Arabidopsis thaliana: one gene and its partner. The protein of the gene in region 1 interacts with the protein of each later gene in a pairwise test. Each region holds a gene or a part of one and is shown on either strand. Other genes may lie near its edges.

What was found. Proteins that work in one complex are often made in the same cells at the same time.
Region 2: the proteins of RVE1 (region 1) and HB30 interact in a two-hybrid assay, tested with the Arabidopsis thaliana proteins (one large-scale study listed by BioGRID).

What each region holds. Positions count from the first base shown.
Region 1 is NC_003076.8:5,689,726-5,696,435, forward strand, and holds RVE1 (Homeodomain-like superfamily protein), read right to left. Parts: upstream 3,268-6,710; 5' UTR 3,200-3,267; coding exon of another isoform or gene 2,975-3,199; 5' UTR 2,711-2,974; coding exon 2,678-2,710; intron 2,266-2,677; coding exon 2,167-2,265; intron 2,086-2,166; coding exon 1,974-2,085; exon of another isoform or gene 1,907-1,973; coding exon of another isoform or gene 1,888-1,906; coding exon 1,826-1,887; intron 1,664-1,825; coding exon 1,349-1,663; intron 1,253-1,348; coding exon 710-1,252; 3' UTR 501-709; downstream 1-500. Other genes in the region: autophagy protein Apg5 family, read right to left, coding at 1-96; AT5G17305 (uncharacterized protein), read left to right, coding at 2,975-3,199. UniProt on the Arabidopsis thaliana protein: Morning-phased transcription factor integrating the circadian clock and auxin pathways. Binds to the evening element (EE) of promoters. Does not act within the central clock, but regulates free auxin levels in a time-of-day specific manner.
Region 2 is NC_003076.8:4,934,594-4,942,426, forward strand, and holds HB30 (homeobox protein 30), read right to left. Parts: upstream 4,615-7,833; 5' UTR 4,097-4,614; coding exon 3,281-4,096; 3' UTR 2,872-3,280; downstream 1-2,871. Other genes in the region: AT5G15200 (Ribosomal protein S4), read right to left, coding at 531-717, 1,070-1,451, 1,714-1,741; AT5G15220 (Ribosomal protein L27 family protein), read right to left, coding at 6,873-7,115, 7,219-7,343, 7,444-7,540. UniProt on the Arabidopsis thaliana protein: Putative transcription factor.

The DNA.
Region 1 (6,710 bases):
AGGAGGAGCAGGGTGAGAAGCGACGTCGGATTTGTGGAGATGAATCTGCAGAGGAATTGCTCCTTCCCATACATACTTGACCGCTTCCTTCGCCATTCTCTTCCCCGTCACACCTTCTCACGCTCGCTCGCTTCACAAAAAAAACTCAGCTTTCAAAACGACGCTGTTTCTGTATGACGTCATCTTCTCTTGCGTCTTTATGTGGTATTAATAAGGCGTACGTTAGACACTGCTTAATCTGTTGGTGGCTAACGTGAAAGGGTGTTAACCGGTCTAATTTGGTCTGGTCAAATTCTATCAAAATTTCAGGTTAGAGTTGGTTTCCGAATCGGTTCGGTTATTTGTTGGGTTTGAACTTTGAACACACACTTGTTCAGTTGGTGGTAACCTCACTGTTTTTCTTCTTTGCCTTCATTTCAAAGCAAACTCTTTACCAAACCTAATTTAATCGGAGATATTGAAGAGAGACACCTGAAACTTGCTTTTGTTGAACCATCAATTAAGAAAGATCTCATAATCATTAGATTTAACTGTATAAATTGTACACGAGTTTTACAGTTACAAACTTTTGCAGAAAATTTTAGCCTAGAGAACAAACACCTCAAGAGAAAACAATGAAACAACAACAAAAATTACATTGATGAAAACTTAGAAAGTCGAATGAATAGTAAATTTAAAGTCTCTTCTTTAGGGTACGTAAGAAAATGTGTTATAAGTGGAGATGAATCTCATGCTCTTCTTCTTCTGTTACCATCTTTCTCTTCTTGTATGGACCAAATCCTCTTGAATTTGACTCGGAGTTTGTTCTTCTGAGCTCAGAAAATGCAGACCTCTCACTTGGTTTAAACTCCCATTGACATAGCATTGTTTCGGGTTCTGTGGTCTTTTCCGTGTGTCCCGTATCATCCACCGAACCAGTGTTTGATCCAGTCGATGATCCTTCGTTTTGGACAGCCTTTCCTGAATCCAAACATCTATTTTCCACATCTTCTTGCTTAAGAGGGACTTGTATCCAGCAGCTCAAGAGTTCTTCTTGTGAGTTTCTTATTATGGGTAGTGTCTTGGATGATGAGAGTTTCCGTGGTAATGGCTGAATTGGGGATTTACAATATGTTGAAGTTGTTAGAGAAGAGGACATGCCTGAATCAGATACCAAAACTGTCTTCCCAAAGAGTTTAAGACTTTGCTTCGTTGGTTCCTTGATCGAGCTCTCCCTGTTTAAGAGTCTCTCACTAGGAAACAACTCCAGCTTCTGTACAAATTGATTAAACCAAGAATATTAAGCATTAAGCATCTAACAGCAGGTATTGCTGTTAAGTATAAATTCGGTTTTGTTTATGTCAAGTACCAGAGTCTCAAGCTCTTCAGGTGCATTTGCAGTGGTTGTAAGAGCAGCTGGTGGTGATGCAGAAGAAACTGGGGACAAGCTTCGATTGGGTGAACTCGAATCAAGGGAACACAATGCTTCTGATCCAACAGTGGACAACACAGAGGTTGGAGATTGAGTATCACGTTCTGAGGGAGAAACCGATCTACTTGTTTGATCTGCCTCGTTCCCAAACTTACGAGGGTACGGATGCGCTGGCTTTCTCTTGGGACGAGGAGGAGGTATTACAATCGGCTCTACTGAGCTCCCATCACCTCCAGTTGCTTCTCGAGCAACCTGTGTGAATACAACAGAACAAAGCCAAGTCAGAACACAAGTCTCCAAACAATGTATGTATAATGATTCCTTATTTATGCAGAACTTAGGTTTGCTACAGAGATTAGACTGATACTTTCTTTGAACAAGGGTAAAGATATAATAGCAAATAAGTGTATAAACCTTAGAGAAAAACTTCTGAGCATGGCTTCGAATCTGAACTGCGGTCTTTGAGCCCACATGTTCTGTTAGTGAAACAAACATATATTTTTGAGGGTCCAGGTAAGGCCATAACTCAGTAGCAAGAGATATTACTAAATCATTAATTTACCTTCTATTCGTCTCCAAGCTCGCCCGTATAATTTCAAGGCTTCAACAAACTTCTTGTGCTCTTCATCTGTCCATCTCTCTCTCTCTTTTGTTATCGTGTATGGCTTCCGTACCTAAGTAAGAAAAGATGAACTGAGCCACAGATCTTCACTTTACATAACAATATTTGACATTTGATGTTAAAAGAAACAAACCTTGGGTGCATAGTCATTTCCCCCAAAACTTTGGTCATTGAATTGTATCTGCTTGTCTGCAGTTTCTTCATCTCTATTCCTCAAAGAAGCGTTGGTACCCTAAAGCCATCATCAAGCAAAACGACTTTAGGAAACATCATTTTAAGGACTATGACACAAAGTGGCATTGGATTATTTACTTTCTTCTTCAGTTTCTCAATGAACATTCATTCACAAAGTCCAACTAATTAAACTCGATTTACATATCCTAATCACAAAATTCCAACACAGTCGATTCCATCTCAAGGATTCAAATGAATGTAGTTGCAACACACAAATCTAGAGAGAACTTATAGCTCAAAAGAAACAAGAGTCTGCAAATGAATTGCAACGAACTTGCTTTAACTCTAAGCTTTATTACTTAAATGTCCGTATACAGTATTTTAAACTCATAGATTCATTTGAGACCAGACCTGAATAAAGCAGAAACAAAACAAAAAAAGTGGATAAAAATCAAATTTTGAGACCAGACCTGAACATTTGCAGTCAACGGAGACGACGCCATAACTTCCCGGATTAAGATCTCGGCGGAGGAAAACAAAAAAAAACTCGAAAGGTGTGGAACACAGAAAAGGAAACACCAAGATAAATTCGCGAATCTAGACTTGAAAAAATCAGCTTAATTTCCTCTGTTCTCCGTCTGTTTCTATAGATCCCATAAATTGATTCGGTTTACTTAGGCAACAACAAACGATTTGCTTCTGAAATCAGAACCAATCTAAGCTTCCACCTTCCGGAAAAAAAACTTCCAGCAAACCAGAGATTTCTTATGTTCGATAAAGGAAAAGAGAAAAAAACTCTCGCTGGAAATCTTGCCGCAAATAAGGATAAGAAGAAGGTCGGAAATGAAACTCTCAGAGAAACTCCGAGAAGTTTTGGTAGCCGGAGTAAAGAAAAAGACAAGCTTTCTGATTCGGCGGAAGAAGAAGAAAACAGAGAGAAAGAAGAAGAAGAGAAGAGTTTGGGGTCTGTGAAGGAGGAAGAAGGGAATTAGGGGGGTGAGAAAATAGGGAAGACAAAAAGGAGGGTGATGCCACGTCAGCTTCTGCTATGTGCGCTTTTTCCCAATTTTTAAAAAATAAAAATAATAATTCTTATTGGTTTTCCATGGAACGCTCGAGAAACAGATGGAAAATCTTGTGGCTCACGTTCAATGTCCATCTTTGCCACGTGTCGCTCTTTCTCATATTCTTCATCTTCTTTTTTTGCAACAAAATTTGTACTAGATTTATTCATTTATCTCTTTGAAAAATCAAATATTTAATTTTTTAAAATGAATCTACTTGTTTTAAAACAGTTAGATTTGGTACTTCGATTATCACTGTATGTATTTATTTAATTCCCCTACTTTTCCTTTCCTTTTTTGACATCATTTCAATTGGATAATCTTTTAATATAAAATATCAGGAAATATAATATTTATGTAACAAAAAAGATTTTGCTGGACGGAGAAATGTGAGCCACCAGAAGATACTTTTAAAGGAAAATATGGAAAGGCGTACTCTCGAGAGTATGACTTCTTAGCTTACTCGCTTTTCATTGGTTCCACTACATGAGATAAAAATGTAAATTTGCGGGATAAATTCATTTTCTTTTCTTAACTATATCTCTATTGATCCATATATGGGTGGACATATTCCAAAATTTATGATTGGTTCTTTGGATCCGGATCCATAGGATTTGTTTGCGGAACCATCCAAATCCATATCTATCAAAAATACTTCAAAATAATTAAAACAGTAATATATAAAACTATAATAAATAAAAAGTTAAAAATATATTTTGATTTATTTACATAAACTCTTTATGAAAATATTTATTAGGGTATTTTAAAAAGCTACATATGAAAACATATCCGAAGTGGATATCTTAATCAAAATCAAATTATTCGAATTCGAAAACTCTTAACATTTTATTTTTGGACCAGATCAGAAGATTTTATTATACACTTTGTCCAATCTTAGAAAACATAGTCTATCCATTTTTTATTTTGTGGGGTTCTACTCTTTTTTCTCCATTCTTCCATATATGAACACAATATTTGATAGTAAATTTATATATAAATTATAACCATCATAATATCTAAATTCAGATTTTAAAAAAGATTTCTGTCTAAACACATTTTTGCAGGACACTAAAATGGTTTATTTTATGAAATGAGATCCACAAAATGGGTTATTCAAATTTGGACTGATATTAAGATTTGTTGATGATGCTTCTATACTAGCAATAGCAAGCCTCATACAAATGCAATTGATAACGTATCCTACCATGATTCCGATATACATATAAAATTTGGACCTCTAAATTTTCCTATATTCTTTTTCATGTCAAACTTATATGTTTAGTTGGGAAAAATATTGCACAGAATTTTACATAGTTGAAATGGTTTTGAATCACAATCTAAATAAATGAAATTCCAAAATCAAGTGAAAGTAGAATGAGATACTATTTTTGGTTCTTTTTCGTTTTGTCGTTGTCTTTGTTTCATATTTTACGAAAAAACGAAAACCATAAGTTAAATATCTTCTGCCTCTATATAAAAACATGGTGGGGGTCTATCCATAACGTAAGTCTACGTATACATACCATATAATATAATATATACAGATACGAATCTATCTATGATATTTATAATTAGTTTCAACTTTCTCGAATTAATATGATTATCCATCGTCCAGGTCGTCATCAATTTTCACAAATGTGTAGATATTTTATTGAAATCATTGTTAAGCACATAATTTAATATACTCCTCAAATTGTAAAAGTCATCCTCGGTGGAAGTGAAAGTAATTACACTTTAATTTATAATATAGTACTAATACTAATAATTAGTGAATGTCAGTGCACTTTTCTCCATGTCACTGATTCTTATTTTAGCCGTCTGTTCTACAGAAACTTGACATGTGGAATGACGAGAAGGAGGGTTCTAGCCACTAGTTTTCTTTTTATTTGTTTCTTATTCATTTTATTCACGTTCACTGATAATACAACAAAATTTCTCAGCCACAAGAATTCCTTCTCGTTCTTTACTTAGGGTTTCAAATATCAGAAAGTGGTTGGTGTGTGGCTGTTGTCTACTTAGAGTATTTGTTTTTGTCATCTCTTATAAAAATATTTGTTATTACCATATTTTCTAATGCAATAAAATCCAAACCTGTAGTGGAAATCACATTTATCTAATGTAACAATCATTAGTGAAAAGAAAATCCAAATTTTTTAAAAACAGATGAGAACATGTTCAAAAAATATTTAAGCGATTAGGATTTAGGAGGCGTAAGACGTGAAAAAGATAAAATAACAGATAACAATTCAGGTGTCGAAACGAAGTGTTAAAAAAACCTTTTAGGTCATTTGAGGAGTTTATGGTTAGGCTTGGTGGTGCTGGATGTTAGGTACTGGTCTACTGGATTGTGTGAAGTGACACGTGACAACCATTGTGATATTTTCCCTTTTCTTCACCACCATCCATTTATTTTTAAGCCAAAGTTTATATAATCTCAATTATATACATGTAATTATATATAGTTTTTTTTTGCCAAAATGTTTTCTTATTATTTGAGAAGAAACAAAAAGATTTGGTTTATTATAAATAAGATTTTTGTTTTTAAATGAAGCTGTCTATGTAATTTCAATTTTGTAAACACATGTTATTCATTCATTCTCAAATGTAACTTCAATGTTGTAGACATTTACAAGACATGTTATATTAATCATGTATTGCAAATAGATTTACATTAAGATAAGTATACAAATATTGTGATATCGATGTAACCTATTTTTTTGGATTGAGAACATTCAAATAAATAAATAAATAAATAAAATAGAAGAAATTAAACAAATATATATCACGGTTGTAATATTTTTGAAAGTGTTGATCATTTTTAAATAACCACAAAATACTATTGTTTTCCTATAACTCAAATCTGTTGGCCAATTCAACCTAATTAGAATTGCAAAATTTCACATGTAGCCATGTTAGTACAAATTCATTCGAAATGTGACTTTGGCATGAGTAGGAAAAAGATAAGAGATTTTACGAATCAATTATTTTAGTGAAGAGAAAAAGAATTGATGGGTGGGTCTACATATATAGTTTGGATAGATAATCCCTTTCTATAAGCTTCTACGTATGTTATGTGGTTCATATTTCTCGCCAACATGTTTTTGCCGCTTTATAGCCAAACGGGATAACAAAATAAATGAAGAAGCAGATATTCTTTTGAGATAAAGGTCTCTCTCTGACTTTGTGAAAATCAGTGTGAATGGTTCTATCTAACAAAAGAGATTGAAAAGATATGTGGTGTACAAAAAAGCCAGACCGGTGATCCTATTCATGGACCAACCGTATTAATTATGTCTCATTCATGATTATCTTCATATTTTCTTATCTTTTTGGATTTTGAGTTGTACAAGTGGTCAAACCATTTGGGACAATTGGCGCAATATGGTACAAGTACTATTGAATGAAACAAGTGGTTGGAACACAAAAACATATGATATTG
Region 2 (7,833 bases), 750 kb from region 1:
TATGTATAAACAAAATATAAATGGTACTTATAAAACTGTTTTACCATGGTAAGATGGTTTCCACGTAGTTTGCATGTACCACGTGTGAAAACCGAGTGTTGGGGAACCAAATGGCAGTGAGAGTATATTTGTATAATCGCGGACGGTGATATCACTAATATTATTTCAATAGTTGCAAATCATAATGAAAATAGGCCAGACACAGCAAAGTTTATGGGCCAAAGATTTCAATTTGGACCTAACAAATGTATGTAACAAAGGCTATAAAATTGAAGTGCCATACGAAACTAGACAATCAATTTCGCTTAGTATAATTATCTTTTTTAGCATAAATATAAAGATAACTAGAGAGATAAGGCAAAACTTTAAAAGATAATTGTGAGAAATAGATGATAACCCAAAGGTTTAGCAATCTCGAGAGTAAAAGAAAGAAACCATAAAACAATCCTCTGAAAACGAACAACAAAGTTGCTTACTACAAAATATCAAAAAGCAGATTGATTCATAGCTAAAACGGTGCGACTTCAGATTTACTCTTCGTCATCACCGTCTGCATCACCGCCACCTGAGGCTTTCTTGGAGGCAGACTTCTCGTTCCTTCTCTTCACTCTTCCTGGACGGCCACCACCGAAGGGACTGGTGAGGGCAAAGTCAATGTGCTTCTGTGAATCAAGTCTCACCATGAATGATGGAATGTTCACCAATTGCTTTCCAACCCTACAACAACACCCGAAACAAATATGAGTACCCAATTTTTAAGATCATATCAAAACACACTTCATATTAAGCCACTCAAGAGGCACAAGTTATCAAGACTTGCGTGAACTTAAGAGCAACCAATAAAACGTTTGAAGAAAGATCAAACCAAAAGACAGTACAAACTCATGAAAGACTACAATCTGTTAGACCAAAGAGACAGTGTTTAAAGAAGTGTAACACAAAGCCGAATCATTCAAAGATAATCATGAAATGGAAACAGAGAAAATGTTAATTTCATTTCAGATCCTATCAATTGATATAACAAAGATAATTCATACACAAGCACAAATAAATCGAAGAGATGCAATACCTGATATGCCTCTGCCTGATGAGGACACGAGAGTGATGGATAGACTTAGCCATACCAGACTTGAACACAATAGTCTGAAGACGACGCTCAAGAAAGTTCTCAACAGTCAAAGCCAAGACGTAATCGAGCTTGTTCTGGCTCTCATCAAGAAGCCCGTAACGGTTCATCCTACGGAGCAAAGCCTCACCTTCAAAGATCCTTCTTGGACTCTTCTCATCAAGAGTCAAAAGATCTCTAGCAGCATTACGGATACGGCTAAGAGAGTACTGCACTCTCCAGAGCTCACGCTTGTTACGCAGACCATACTCACCAACCAGCTTCAATTCAGAATCAAGACGCTCCTTCTCGTAAGGACGACGTGGTCCCTTGAAGGTCTTTCCATCTATTCAACAACAAACACACACATTCATACAAAATTATCAGCATAAAGGTTAGATCTTTGAGGCTCGTATCTAAGATTGATTCATTTCAGAAACTAAAACCTCAAAAGTTACAACAACCCAGATTCACAATCTATATATATAACACAATCAAAAACCTCAGATAATCCCTAATCTATCATTTGATATTGAGAGAAATCACTACGTAGATCGAATCGAAAATGAGCTGTGATATAAACGACGAAAAGGAGAGAAGAAGCTTACAGTTGCGGTAGTAGCAAACGTGCACCATATTTTCGTCTCCTTACTGCAAATTCGGCGATCTGAATAACTAGGGCACGCAGAGAGGAACGAAAGAGACGAATGAACTAATTTATAGGATTTCTTAAAACCCTAACGCTACACTCTCACTTTCTTTATTGGGCCTTTACGAATTAAGGCTTTATATTGGGCCTTTACGAATTATGGCTTTATATTGGGCCCGTTTTGAGATGTCGATTTATTTTTGAGTCTTGCGCTTGGGCTCGAATTTATTTTCTTAATCATAAAATTATTTTTATGCACTGAATAGTGGTACCTAGAAATGTCATTTGAACAAAAAAAAAAATGTCATTTTACATGTCTTTTGGCATTTAGATTATATCATTAAAAAAGTTGATGAAAAAAAAAAGATTATATCGTAAAAACAAATAATTGCAATATTTTGTTGAGATGTTTTACCAGTCTTGCCTTAATAGAACAGCAAGAATATATTATAAGTGAGTGGTGTCTCCAATCATATTAACCTAACGTAGTGCCTAATCTTACCAACTCTTAGTTGTATCTTTTACCATTTCAACAAATAAACAAACAGGTGTTAACTACTAGCATCGAAAATAAACACACAAAATAGTAACTGTGTTTTCATGTTTTTGAGTTATCTACATATACATTTTTGCAGCCACTATATGAAATAAATCTTCAAGTTGAGACTTATTTACAGTGGTTGTCACTGGCATTTAATAATTATTTTTGATAATTAGAAAGTAAATTTTCGAATTAAATATTTGACATTTAACTATCTTCTCAAAATCTCTCTACAATAACTACACGATTAGTTACTAAAATAAAACTTCTAAAATATTTAACATCATTTAAAAATTACAAAATTATCATTTTTGATATTGCTTTTTTTGCATGACTATAACAATTCCATTATACGCATCAACCCACATAGATATTTTATAGCAGTTAATTATTACAAAATTACAAAATATTTAGACAATGATTTATAAACATATCATAAATAAGATCAACATTAATAAAATAAATAGTTTTTTTTACTTAATAACAATTGTAAACTATAAAATAAAAATATTTTATAGATAGATACAATTTGTAAACTTTTATATATACTAACTTAAAAAAAAAAAAATTGTCCTTGCGGTATACCGCGGGTTAAAAATCTAGTAATGTCACATAATTGCAACAAATTCCCTCATTTCTTTCATAAATTTCTATATAAAGAAAAAAAGTAAAAATAAAAAAGCAAACTGATATAGAATTTAGAAAACAATTGGATTAATTGACTTTGTTATTCGGTTTTAGGAGGTTACTCATTTATCTTTCTTCTCACATTTGGTCGAAAGATACAACTCAAATCACCTCTCTAACAAAGATAAACTACTAACAAGAGTACAAACTACAAGACATAACAAAACAAAGTGGAATAGAAAAAAGATTTTGACCCGTTGACTAAAAATAAAAAATCTTCAAAACACAGAGAAGAAAAACCAAAAAAGAATTAGCCTCTAAAACGACGACGCTTTTTCAACGCTTTCCATTCTTTTCCTCACGTCGAAGAAAACGACCCATTTGTCGGAACAACACTCTGACGACTATCTCCTACTCCTCCTACTACTACTCCGCCGTTAGCTCTTCTAGCGCCGCTGCGTCCTGAAATCTTGTTGTTATGCATCCACACTTTGAAAACGCTTTTATCAACTCCAATCTCCCGACAAAACTCCTTAACCACCACGTCATCAGCTTTCGGCATCCTCCACCCAACTCTCTCCGAGAACTCGAACATCTTCTCCTTCTGATACTGACTAAACTTCGTCCTAAAACGTTTCCTAGACATTGGAACCGCCGTGTTAGCTCCTCCTCTTCCTCCAGAGAGTGCGAGAAGCATGTAAGAAGACGAGATCGGCGGTGGAGAAGCTGAATCATCGTCGTCTGGACTACGAATCCCCGCCAGATGAGGAGGAGGCGGTGGAGGAAGCTGGTGACGGTTGTGAGGTCGAAATTCGATCGCAGGGACGATGGCAGAGAGAGAAGATGGATCCTCCTCACGGCGGTGGAAGTTACGGTGGCAACCACAAGCAGCGCACGTTAGTGAAGCGGGGTCATTGGAGTTAAACGACGGTGACGGCATAAACTCGCCGCATCCGTCTAAAGCGTGACCGCCGATACCTGCTGCGTGATTCTTTAGACATTCTTTATAAGTCGCAACCGCAACCGCTTCAGATGCAAGATGATGGTGGTGGCAGCGTTTGCCGTTTGAGAAAGAAATAGGCTTCGCGGGCTGGATCCGGATCGGAGCTTCGATTTCGGGTTGTCGTGAATCCAAGTCGGATACTATAGTAGTTGTAGTAGCTATTACATCCATGACAACTCAAAACATTTAGGGTTTCGAAAAACAAGAAGAAGAAATGTTTTGTAAACTTGGGTTTTGGTTATTGTAATACAAATAAGATTTAAGAAACAAGAAGTATTATAATTTTCTAGAGATGGAGGAAGAAGAAGAATAGATGATAGAAGTAAAGATAAGGTAAAGATTGCACTAAACAAAACTGTTTTTAAATTGTAAACTCGAAATCTTTGGGATGGGTTTATGTATTTGGGAGAGATAAGATTAGAAAAGGGGAAATTTAAAACTATGTATTATTTACTCAAGTCTCTCATGGAGGAAGAAAGAGATGAGAAGTTGAAGACTGTTGATAATGAGAAATCCAAGTTGTGTGGTTGAGATTCATAATCATTATGTGTTTTTTTTTTTTTGGTTGAATATTTTTTTTTAACCATGGTTTGTTGACCCCATCTAGGGTTAATGAAAAAAGATAAGTGTAATAAATATAGGCTAATAAATAGAGTTCATAGAACAGCATCTAATGTGAGTCATGTCTTTTTCTTTTTGCTAAATTTGTATCTCCATGACGTTGACAACTTTAATAATATATACTCCAATTTTATATCAATATTAATCTTTTTTGCTACCTTTCAAATTTCAATTATTATTATTTCTCGTTATTTTTTTTTATTTTTTTTTCTCCTTATTTAAGCTGAAAATTTCGTGTGGAAGTAAAGCATGAATATAATTAAGGTTGATTCGGGTTGTTGATTCAATGATGTTAACTAAAGACAAAAGTTAATATTTCGTATTGTTGATCAAAAGCAATGTTTATCCAAAAATGTTAAAATCTCGACCTTCCCTAGTTTTATAGTTCATGGTTTGTCTTCAATCTTATGTCGAAAAAACTATCAACTTACAATCTTAAAAGTTACTCTACTACCAAATTTTTGCAAAAAAAACTATGACTAGCTTAATTTATTTACTTCTCAACTACTCCACTAATTAACTCAAAAATGTTTATTGACTATACATGTTGACGGTTAAAGTGGCCTTAAGAAAAGGAGACCACAACTAAAAAAGCTGACACGAGCAGTGGTGAAGAACGATGCCGTTTACTCCAAACTTCTTTAAAGCTGTATAAAAAAGTCTTTAATCAGAGAGGTGTAGACCAAACCTAAGATCGTTTGCAAATCCATTACTAATAATAAGTGATAAACTAACAATTCAAAGCAAAAACTCCATAAATAATTGATAGTATACCAATTTTTTTAGGAGATTTGCTAAAATATGACCGATAAATTTTATCAAAAAATTCAGACAAATTTTATGGAAGTTTTAATTTTGATGCTCTAAATCCAACGGTTGAATTCTCCGTCAAAATTTTGAATTTTAACGGGTTTCTAAAATGTCGTCTGTTTTCTTATAGTAGTAACGTAATTGTAAATCTCAACTCTTAAAACTTTTTCTTTCTTTTGACTAATGATGATATGAAATTGTCTAAATACCAAAAACAGCTAACACGCGTACATATCTTGCAACATGGCGCTACCTAATCAAACCATGTTCGTCTGTTATGGAAGACAATTCTCTTCTTCTCAAATACATTGAACTTTAACATTATACTTTAATTAATGTAGGTATATATTACGACTTGCACGACTTACCATAGCCAAAATAGGGAACCACCGTATCAACATTTCAAGCATTTAGATATAACTTGATTGTTGATTGGTCTTATTGTTACCGCACTACGATTATCTATAGATTTCATAGACAACAAAATAATATAACACATATATTATTGTTTTAGAAATAGTTATAAGGCTTTTTACTCTTTAGTTAGGAAGAATAAGGCAAACCGACATTAAATAAGCTTTATGCCCATAACAAGGATAATATTAATTAGTTTTTTTTTTTCAGGATATATTATCTGACGCAATTATTTGATGATCTATCTGTGATTTTTTCTTTCTTTCTAAAATCTATTATATGTTATGCCTGTATATGTTTTATATATACACATATCCTACTTTATGTATGTGTGCAAATGCAATTGGAAGGATTTATCATATACGATGAATGTATCGCATGGGTGGTTAGTATGCATTAATATGGACTGTTCTTAAGATTTGTGAATAAAGAAAAAAACAATGACATCTTCTTCTTCCTTTTTTTGTGTTATAAACGAAATGATTTTATTTTAATTGTATTGTTTTTGAATAGGAATGTGTAAAATTACAAGAAAATAATAATTCAAAAACTAAATATTGATGTGCATGGCAACTTGAGAAGTATTTGAGGAAACTTTAATGGCTAAAACAAGTTGGCTCTTGATTTCACATTATGCCAAAAACAAAGCTGGTTCGTCCATATATGATAATATGAGAGAAATTTATGTTTGAAATTTTAATTGAAATTTTAAACCCGATAGGATAAATATGTTTCTGATTCAATGAACGGATCTAGCCGCGTTGACGGGCCAGAGCCTGAGGCTTAGAATGTTGGCCCATTATTCGATGAGTTTATAACGGGCCGGGAAAACATTATCTCAGACTGTTACTTGTCTGTTTTGCGTAACACATATGAGAGAAACTCAGACTTGATTAACATCTATTTCCGAATAAAACTTGATTTGTTGAATCCAAACAAAGCCCTTCATCAAAATCCAGACAAAGACTAGAGGGAAACAAAACAGCAGATGTTATTGAATTGAGTGGTTCTGCTCTAAGATAGCATCATCTTTTACTCGAGAGATCACATGATCTAAAGGAAATGAAAACCACGTTTAGATTGTTGCAATCAGTATTCACGACTATGAAGCTGTCTTCAACTTAGTCGATTGAGCAGCTGCAGCTTTTGTGTAGATAGGGTGAAGAACATGACCACCTGTTGGATCAACATGAATCCATTTGCGTCCTGTAATCTTGCTTTTCTCGAACCTGACTCGTCCTTCCTTCAATGCAAACAGAGTATGGTCCTTACCAATCCCCACATAGTCTCCAGGATGAAACCGAGTTCCCCGTTGACGAACTATGATGTTTCCTGGTATCACACTCTGCAAAATCACACACACACACAGGCAAACATTATTTTCTTCACACAGACCAAGACTGATTTGATTATCAAAATCTTATCTCGCTTGTTATTTATTTTCTTACCTCTCCTCCGAATTTCTTAACACCGAGAAACTTGGGATTAGAGTCACGACCGTTCTTTGTAGAACCAGCAGTTTTCTTAGTAGCCCAACGCTTGAAGACCAAACTCAAGCCACTTGAAGAACCATCTTTAACATCCCCAAAACAAGAACAACAGCAACAATTACACAAATGAGTTAACTAGTTAAGATCATCAAAATATAGATTTTGAAAAGCGCAAATCTATACCGGAAATGCTACTGCCACTATAAGCAGGAACCTCAGTGATCAGTTCCCTCAAACTAACTCTTCTGCAAATGGATGCTGCTGAGTTTAAGAAATTCATTTTTTTCAGGAATCTGCAAGCAACAAAGAGCAATTCAAACATTAATCATTCAAGTAGAATCAAATCAATACTATACAAACCATTTCATCAAATCTTCTCGAGCAAATGGAGTTTTTTCATTCACACTCGAAACTCCACCATTGTCACAAACGTATTAACCTATTGACCTCAAAACCAATTACATTTCCGATCCGATTCCAACTCTCGAATGATACGGTAATAAGAAAGGAGGATACTTACCGGAAAATTTCGATTTCGATTAATTGCGAACGATGACAAGCGTGGCCGGAGAT